Linked DNA regions of Caenorhabditis elegans. The protein of the gene in region 1 interacts with the protein of each later gene in a pairwise test. Each region holds a gene or a part of one and is shown in the gene's direction. Other genes may lie near its edges.

Evidence for each region.
Region 2: the proteins of ceh-33 (region 1) and eya-1 interact in a two-hybrid assay, tested with the Caenorhabditis elegans proteins (2 studies listed by BioGRID).

What each region holds. Positions count from the first base shown.
Region 1 is NC_003283.11:5,322,542-5,326,696, reverse strand, and holds ceh-33 (Homeobox protein ceh-33), read left to right. Parts: upstream 1-2,030; 5' UTR 2,031-2,080; coding exon 2,081-2,121; intron 2,122-2,214; coding exon 2,215-2,290; intron 2,291-2,657; coding exon 2,658-2,759; intron 2,760-2,800; coding exon 2,801-3,004; intron 3,005-3,046; coding exon 3,047-3,210; intron 3,211-3,260; coding exon 3,261-3,459; 3' UTR 3,460-3,503; downstream 3,504-4,155. Other genes in the region: C10G8.8 (HABP4_PAI-RBP1 domain-containing protein), read left to right, coding at 1-22, 1,032-1,181, 1,247-1,423, 1,473-1,721.
Region 2 is NC_003279.8:14,228,088-14,233,383, reverse strand, and holds the start of eya-1 (Protein phosphatase eya-1), read left to right. Parts: upstream 1-2,023; 5' UTR 2,024-2,141; coding exon 2,142-2,159; intron 2,160-2,353; exon of another isoform or gene 2,354-2,395; intron 2,396-4,282; exon of another isoform or gene 4,283-4,352; intron 4,353-5,296. Other genes in the region: clec-114 (PAN-3 domain-containing protein), read left to right, coding at 253-349. UniProt on the Caenorhabditis elegans protein: Tyrosine protein phosphatase. Acts probably as a transcription regulator in the embryonic and postembryonic development of several tissues including pharynx, vulva and gonads. Required for the development of anterior tissues during late embryogenesis.

The sequences.
Region 1 (4,155 bases):
GCATTCGGAAAAGAAAACCTCGGTAAGCTTTTGATTTTTAGAACTAAGTTTCAAATTTCAAAAAGTTGTTGAGTTGAAAAAAAAGTTTTAAAAATGTGTACAATTGTGACGTCATAAAGTGTAATAGAATACGTTTTGCAAAATTACTTAAACCAAAAAAGTTGGATATTTGCTCAAAATAACAGAAAACAGTCCCAATATACCGAATATAACTGTAAAAAATTAATAGAATTTGCCTAAATTTTTTATTATTTTTTCCAATTTTGCAAAAAATATGAAACGGCTTATTCTGAATTCCCGCGCAAATTAATAACCTAGTTTTGAATTTTCTGGTATTCCTCTTTTGATAACGGGTTTAAAATTTGAAACATTGTTTCTGGCATTTTTCCATAAATAAAACTTGATAGCCTAAAAGAAAATTAACGAAATTCTGAAATTGGCCTACAAATCGATAATTTTTATTAATATGATTTTTTTTTTCAAAAAAAAGGTACAATTTTGAATTTGAAAAGAAACCAGTAAAAAAATGTCAAAACTATGTAGTTTATTAAATTGCGCGGGAATTATAAAATGATTCAGCCTTTTTCAATTTTTTTTTGAAATTTGAAAAAAAACTCACAAATTTAGAAAAAGTCATTTAATTTTTACATTTGTATTGGTATATTCAGACTGTTTTCTATAAATTGGAGCAAAAAGTGGCACTTATTAAAGGCTATTTTATATGTTACCAATGATTGATAAAAACACAGAAACCGGGGATGATGCCTGCCAAATTTAATTAATGAGATGTAAATATTGTATGACAATTAAGTAGATCAATACATCAAGGGGGCCCCCTTCCTGCCACCTATCCCCCTATTTGATTTATGTAGTACATAAGTATCACTGGCCGTCCAGTCAATTTCACACCTGTCACCATCTCTCATCAAATAGTACCGCTCACCAGCCGCCTGCCAACCATTGGATATTGCCACCGATAGGTGTTCTCAAGTTTCATTAACACATCCCGACGAATCTCCGGCTTTTTGTAGGTGACCGCTTCCGATGGAGAGGCTCAAAGAGGGCAGAGAAGACGTGGAAGTCAGAAAGATCAGAAGGATCAAAATGGGAAACAGCAGATTCAGAAGAAGGATGGAAAAGGAAAGAGCCAGCCGGTTGGAGATAAAGTTAATGAGGATAAGGTATTTAGAATTTTTAAGAAAAATGTATTTCATTTTAAAAAAATCAAACAATTTTTCAATTTCAGAAGAAACAAAAGAGTAATCGTACGCGTCGTGAGAGTGATAACTATGCAGTTCGAAAAGTTCTCCACAGAATAGTTGACAAAGTATGTTGGATGGAGCGAGTTGAGAAGAGAAGAGCAAAAAATGAACTGCTCGGGGAGCAAGAAGAATTGGAAGAGGAGCCGAAGAGTGAAGATGAGGTAAATTATAGCTTTTACCCATAAATTTTGAAGATAAAATAATCTTTAGGTTGATGTGGAAGATCACGATCAAGAAGAATGCCAAGATCAAAGAACAGAGACTCAAACTCCAAAAAATTCTGAGCCGGCTCAAGAAGAAGAAACCCGTGCAGAGGAATCTAAAGATAAAGAAAATACCGAGAATTCTGATGAAACAAAAGAAGAATCTTCCGAAGATGTAAAAGAAGACAGTAATCAGAATGTGATCAGTCTGGTCCGTGAAAAAGTGGTTACCATGACAACCTCTCAAGTCGCCTAATCCTCTAAATTTCTGTGATTTTTTTTTTCATAAGAAAATTTAAAAAAAAACCAATACAAAATGACATTTGTGCCTTAATGCTTCCCACTTGTTCCCATATTTCAGTTTATCAACCTGCAATATTTATTATTACGCAACTAATTTTTTTTTGTAAATAAAGCTTCTTCTCTAAGTTTACTGTATCAGAAAAAATTGGACAACAAGAATTTAGCAGCAGCTGTTCCAGTCTGTTATGAGGGAAATATGAAAACGAAAGCGCGTTTTTCGTTTTTCCAAAACTTCTCACTATCAGTTTTCAAACATTGTGTCACACCGAGCATCGCCGTGTGAGCATCATCATCATCAGCAACCCGAGCAATATGCAACTAAACTCCTCATCGTTTCATCCTCATCATTTTACGTATGTTCTTCTGATATTGATACTTAATTTTATCAGATTTCAACACGATATCTGCTGGAATTTCATCGCCTCAGTTTCTTGTTTCTTTTTCAGTTGCGACACGACCAGATACTCCGAAGAGCAAGTTGCATGCATTTGTGAAGCATTGTCAAATGATGCGAGGAAGTTGGTGAGTCTGAATTTTCCTTTCGATTTTTTTAAAATTATTTGTTTCCCTTGTTGTATCTCGGTTGTGTTTGGTTTCTTTCAAAAATTGCATATTTATTAAAATATAGAAAAATTATTAGCGCATATACTTGTGAAAAATGTTTCAATAAAATCAAGGACAATAAATATGTATGCTTTTAAAGTAGAGCGATAAAAGTGCAAGACTAATAGGAAAATTACGGTATATTCTAGACTAAATTGTTTCTATTTTTGCAATTTTAATATTTTTACAATGTTATAGAAAATTGAGTTTCTAAATACTCTCAATTTAAAAAAAAAATTTGGCTTGTCCGAATAAAAGCCTAAATCCTCAATTACTCAAATTTCAGTCTCAATTTGTTTGGACTGTGCTGGAACGAGATGAGATGAGAAACAATCAGTATATTCTAAAAGCTCAAGCTTTTTTGGCGTTTCACTCAAATAACTTTAAAGTAAGAATTACTCCAAATTCAATGTATGTTTTAAAATCTAGGAACTATACCGCATAATCGAATCTCATCATTTTGCATCTGAGCATCACTTGCCTCTCCAAGAGTGGTGGCTCAATGCTCATTACCACGAAGCTGAAAAAATCCGCGGACGCCAACTTGGAGCTGTTGGAAAATACAGGATTCGAAGGAAATATCCACTTCCAAGAACTATTTGGGATGGCGAGGAGACTAGTTATTGTTTTAGAGTGTGTTATTCAATACTTTTCTGAAAAAATTTTGTGATTCAGGATAAATCTCGAGTACTTCTTCGTGACTGGTATTGCCGGAATTCATATCCAAGTCCAAGAGAGAAAAGGGAGTTGGCTGAAAAGACACATCTGACAGTGACCCAAGTATCTAATTGGTTTAAGAATAGAAGGCAAAGGGATAGAGCTGGAGTTCCTGAGCCAAAGTAATTTGATTTTTATAAGCTATGAAAAAATTAAATATAATTTATTCCAGAGATTGTCTGAAAGATATTAGTGAAGAAGAAGATCTGAAATTAATTCGGAAAACTGCATCAAAACTTTCCAATTCATTCCATAATCCATCAGATTTGTCTTCCTACTCTGCTGCAGCTGCCGCCGCAACATTTCCCGGTTTTTATATGAATTACAATGATATGATGATTGGCGCTGGTACCTCTTATCAATCTTTATAATGTTTATTTTCTATGTAATTTCTAATAAAGTCCCTCAATAAAATTGGCTCCACATACATATATCTTCACCACCATTTTCTCCGCCACCCATTGAACATGCTGCTAATGTAAAATAGCGGAGCCAAGAAATGAAAAGCAACGGGACTGGTGGCGAGAGAGGAAATTGTGTGTGACCATAGGTGAAATTCAATACTTTTTTCCCATTTCTCTCTCATTCTCTTCATGATTACGGTAGTTCAGTCAGCTTCTTCTTGAAAAACAAGCAGAGAAAGGGAGAGAGCAACAAGAGAAAAATCAATTTTTTGGAACAATTTCTGAAAAAAACACATTTTCTGGGAACAACCGTTCAGCATGTAGATTGAATGACCCTGGTTTTGTTTTCCAAAAAAATAGACAAATTTTTTATACCGCATTTTCCTTACAAGATGGCCTAAAAATTATAGAGACTGTGAAAAATGGGAGAAAAAAGATAAAAAAAATGAAAATCCATAGAATATTTATAGATTCTGGCACCGCTGTGAAGTTCGAAAAGTTATTTGAAAATTTTCCGATTTTCAAATTAGATATTATTACTTGTGAAGTTGATAATTTCTGTCTTTGTTTAAACATGCGCACTTCAAAGTTGCCCCAGAATTTTGAGATTCAGATATGTTGCGGTAAATATTTTTGCAAAGGTACAGAACTGTAAAGTTCAGA
Region 2 (5,296 bases), on another chromosome or scaffold:
AAATTATTGGAAAACGTGGTTTTTTCTAACTTTCAACAATTTTTGATATTTTTGCGGCTTTTCAGCATACTCTGACGCTCTTCTAAGCTCACATAGCTATGGAAACTTGAGCTTTAATGTTTTTTCTCGAAAAATTGACATTTTTGGGAAAGGGAAGGAATATAACACTTTCACTATGCGCCAGTTGGACCATTTTTTGTGAATTTTTTTATTTAAAAAATCCAATTTTTTCCAAATATTCGAATTTTTTAGATGCAACATGTCAACCGCAGGGCTGGTACCCACAAATATATGCTACAAAGGATACGTCTGCGGAGTGAAGCCCACTAGTCTAAATTCAACATTTTAATTTTATTTTTCAAACTTCCAGGTTCATAAACTGTTCGAGAAGCCCACAGAAGCATTTTTCTCGAGAGTTTCCGAATTCGACCTGCTAATTTTTGAAAGCAGTACCTGAATTATTGAAAACTTCTTATTAAGACTTCTAATTTTATTTTGCTATTCAAATTTCATATTTTCTAGAACTTTTCAACTTTTTGTCCGACTGGCTCAGTGGGATTTTGGGTGACTACCAATTTCACCACCTGGGTTCGAGTCCGCGCCTTGGCATATTTTTTTGTTTTAGTGTTATTTGGCTAATATCGACATTCTGAATCCGAATTTCAAGGTCCCATGCCTTAAAACTCAATGGGTTTCCTCCAAAATCAATATTCCATTGCAAAATCGTCCCTCGTCCCATATACTACTAAAATTGAAGTCAGCGTCTCGACTCTGTGCTCCCGAAAACTGAAATATGATCGCTTCGCCGCTTTCGCACGCTCCCCATCTCCCTATACTCTCAGAAATGAGAGGAAAATAAGGGAAGGGGGTAAAATCAACAAATAATATCGATTTTTTGAGAAGGTATAAAAGTTCGAAAAAATCACAAAGCAGTGTGGAAATGTCTAATTTTTGACCGAATTCGAACTCGGAAAGTCGAAATTTAGTAGAATAACACCAAAAAAAAAATTATGCCACATCGCGGACTCGAACCCCGGACCTCAGATTGGTAGCTGGCTAGAATCCCACTGAGCCACTCGTACACAAAAAGAAATTAAGTTTGAGCCGACCTAGCAAGTCTTTCTGGTTTTGAGAGTTGAAAATTCGAATTCAGGAGATTTGTATTATTCTGAGAACAGCAAAACAAAAATTCATGCCACAGTGCGGACTCGAACCCCGGTCGTAAGATTGGTAGCCGGCCAAAATCCCACTGAGCCATTCGGCCAAATTTTCAGAAAAACTTGAAAATTACGGTTTGAGCTGATTTTTCAGCAATTTCGATATATTTTTTTTTTCCAATTTTGAACTTGTTTTAAAGTTGTTCAAGCTATTGGAGACCAAGCTTCGAAGGGATATATATATATCCCCAAAATGTTGAAAATGTTATTACAAATAGTATATAAGTCAGAAATCCGTGTTCAGCAGGGCTTGTATAGTCAAACCAATAAATAAAAAAATTTATGACACAGTGCGGACTCGAACCCCGGTTGTCAGATTGGAAGCCCTCCAAAATCCCACTGAGCCATTCGAGCAAATTTTCAGAAAATCGAGGTTTGAGCTGATTTTTAAAAATTTTGAGCATTTTTTGGGACTGTTCAGCATATGTCTCATGTGTGCTAGGTGCAATGAGCTATTAAAATTTAAGCTTGATAGTTTATTTTCAATAAAAAGTTAAAAATTTGTATGTTAAAAATTCGTGTTCAGCAGGGCTTATATAGTCGAACCAACAAAGAAAAAAAATTATGCCACAGTGCGGAGTCGAACCCCGGTCGTCAGATTGGTAGCCCTCCAAAATCCCACTGAGTCACTCGTACAAAACTTTTTTTTCAAAATTAATTTTTCAGAATCCGAAAATAATGCGATTTTCCACCAAAAGGCGGAGCTCCGAGCAGACAGCCGACTGGCTCAGACATACGGTAGCTCAGGGGTGAGAGCTCCGAGAGCTCAGAGAGCCGGCAGAGAAAACGAGAGCACACACACACACACAAATACATCAGAGTCAGTCTCTCCCTGCTTCTGCGTGCCAGTTGCTCAAATTTTTGCTCAACAATTTCCAAATCTATATATCTGAAATTGTTCGCAATTCCTGAATCAAAAAAAAAATGCTTCCAGATTCTGAGGTGAGTTATATGTCGCTTCAGGGCGCCCCCGGGCGCCCGGTACCCCATCCCAAAAGTATCAAATATCGGCATGGTGATGAAACTGGAGAAAGTTCTGCGAGAAGGGTCTGTCTGTAAGATGAGCTCTTCCAAGACACCCCCCCCCCCCCCCCCCCCCCCCCCTCCATGTACCTCCTTTCCCCATTCAGTACCTAGACAGTTCTAGCTAACCTCTCCTACAATGTTCTCTGTATTTTGTGAGTTTTCTAAACCGTGAACTTTAATTTAAAAAACTCGAAAAATCGATATTTCTAATCTTAAAAATGTTCCTGAATGGCGCAGTGGGTTTTTGGACAGCTTCCGAGCAGAAGCCCGGGGTTCGAGTCCCCGCTGTAGCATTTATTTTTGTTTTTGTGTGGATGAGCTATATAAATGATTCTTGGCTTTAATTTCCTTGTAACCCAGAAAAAAAGCTCTCGGAGCTCAAAACGAGTAGAACTGCGAATTTTAATGGTACGGGGTTGGGGTTTCAGATAAAAATGTAGATTTTTAAGCTGAAATAAACTTTTTTCAGAGCTTTTACTCTTCATTTTTCGCAATTTCGAAAATTTGGTCCAAGTGGCGCAGTGGGATTTCGGATGACTTCCAATCTGACGACCGGGGTTCGAGTCCGCACTGTGGCACAATTTTTTCATTTTACTGTTTCTAGATTAATTTGAGTGCGCTGAGTTCAAATTTCTATCTTTTAAACTTCTAGGTTGAAGTTTTTTAGTAGAAAATTCCGAACTTTGTTGCAACTCGGAAAAATAAACAAATCAATAATTAGCGAAGTTTATAATCCACGTAAACAAATGTCTGGGTCACCTGGTGCTCAATGAGCACACTTATTTTTGATTTTCACTATTTTTCCAAAAAGATACATTTTTAACTAGGAACTTGCTCCGAATCGCCTTTTAAACTGACATTAATCAGAAAAATTATCAAAAATTATGATGTACATCCCTATTGTAAATTTTGGATTTTTTTTTTGGTCAATTTATGCGACTAGTTGATTTTAGGCACCCCTTAGTCTTTTTCCAATACCCAGTTGAGTCTAGATACCCCCTCACGCAACCATATTACATCATTATATAGCCATCATTAGCCAACTTGCAACAGTTGGGGGGACCCCCTGTGGTGACGGGATCGAATTCAGAGGTCTTGGGGCTCTTCGATGCACAATTTCTGTGGCAAAGCAGTAAAAAATCCAAAAATAAAATTTCGAAAATTTGGTGCAAGTGGCTCAGTGGGATTTTGGTGGGCTTCCAAGCAGAAGACCGGGTTCGAGTCCGCGCTGTGGCTTAATTTTTTTTTTTTGGTGTTTTAGACTAATTTGGGTATAGGCATGTCGAAAATTTTAGTCACGAGTCAGAAAATGGCTCAATGAGCATAAGAGATGAGTTTGAAAATTTCCTGGCGCTTATTTTTAAATTTTTAAAACCCTCGTAACTTTAAAACTAGAATAGCAAGAAAAAAGTTTCCAACCACAAAATTGTAGGAAATTTTCCAAGTAATATTTTGCTAGTTGACAACTTTCCTCGAACTATGCTCTCCACCGAGTTATGGTAGAAATCGCAACACCTGTTTGGTGGCGGGGAGCTCTGAGAAAACTCCCGCGGCTCTTTTCTTACCTGTTCGCCGGCGGTCACTTGAAACTAGATACCCTTATACCTTTTTTCCGCACCGGGCTCTTACTAAGTTTTAGGGCTTTTGGGGAACCCTCCGGGATTGATTCAAGTCAAATTTTTTTGGCCGGTTTTTATCAAAATTTTAATTTTTTCACTCATTACTTCACTGCCCCCCGGCCTAGTTATCACCTCCACTACCGTGTATTTGAACAACAGCGACATATGTAAAGCTCCTGTGCTACTGCTCGCCGAGCAAACAAATACAGATGGCATTGTTTGTGAAGCACCCCGTCCGACGCCTTGAAAGTAGTGAGGGAAGAAGAAGCTGAGAGCTGTATGTAAATGGAGTGGTGGCTCGGGTTTCGTCATTATTCCTGAGAACGGAAATTCGCAAGCTTTGGAGGGGTCCTGATGGGGTTCAGAAGTCTGTAAAAGCATTGAAAAAGAAAAAGAAAAAATATATGCCACAGCGGGGGTTCGAACCCGGGCCGTGAGATTGGTAGACGCCGAGAATCCCACTGAGCCATACGGTCAATTTTTTTGAAAATTTTGAAAATCGAGGGTTTTTGTTGGTTTGTAGGCAATTTCTCCAAATTTTGAGCTGGTTTTTAAAATATCCTGGGCTCAGTGAGCATTTCAAGATTTGATAAAAAATTCCCCGGTTTAGTATAAAAACACCTAAATAAAAATATATGCCACAGCGGGGGTTCGAGCCCTGGTTGTAACTTTGGTAGCCGCTGAAAATCGCACAGAGCCATTTGGACAACTTTTCTGAAAATTTTTAAAAATGAGGGATTTTTGCTGATTTTCAATTATTTTGTTAAGTTTTTTTTTTCAGTATATTAGCCTCATTTTTAGGGTATTCTAGGCTTAATGTACATCCGAATCAAGGGTGTCATTTTTCGATTTTTCGATTTTTTTGATTTTTTCGATTTTTCGATTTTTCGATGTTTTTCAGTGAAAATTTACTGTTTTGATTATCCTTCCCTGTGGGGGAACCCTTTTTGAATAGATATTTACAACCTCCTACAACGAAAAGGTTCAAAAATAAAACATTATCAGCTGTTTTGTAAGTTTATTTCAAAAATCGAAAAATTTTTCGATTTTCGATTTTTCGTTTTTTTCGGAAAATCGAAAAACGAAAAATTTTCGATTTTTCGAATTTGAAAAAACGAAAAATCGAAAATTTTTAATTTTTCGATTTTCTGGAAAAATCGAAAAACCGACACCCTTGATCCAAATTACAAGAAAAATATATGTTCTTTGCTAGAAATAAAGATTTCCGAGAACTTAAAATATTGCTAACTCGAAATTTGTATCCAGCAGACCCGGTTTAGTATACAAACACCAAAACAAAAATATATGCCACAGCGGGGGTTCGAACCATGGTCATGAGATTGGTTGCCGTTGAAAATCACACTGAGCCAATCGGGCAATTTTTCTGAAAAATAAAAAAAAACAATTTTTGCTGATTTTCAATTATTTTGATAA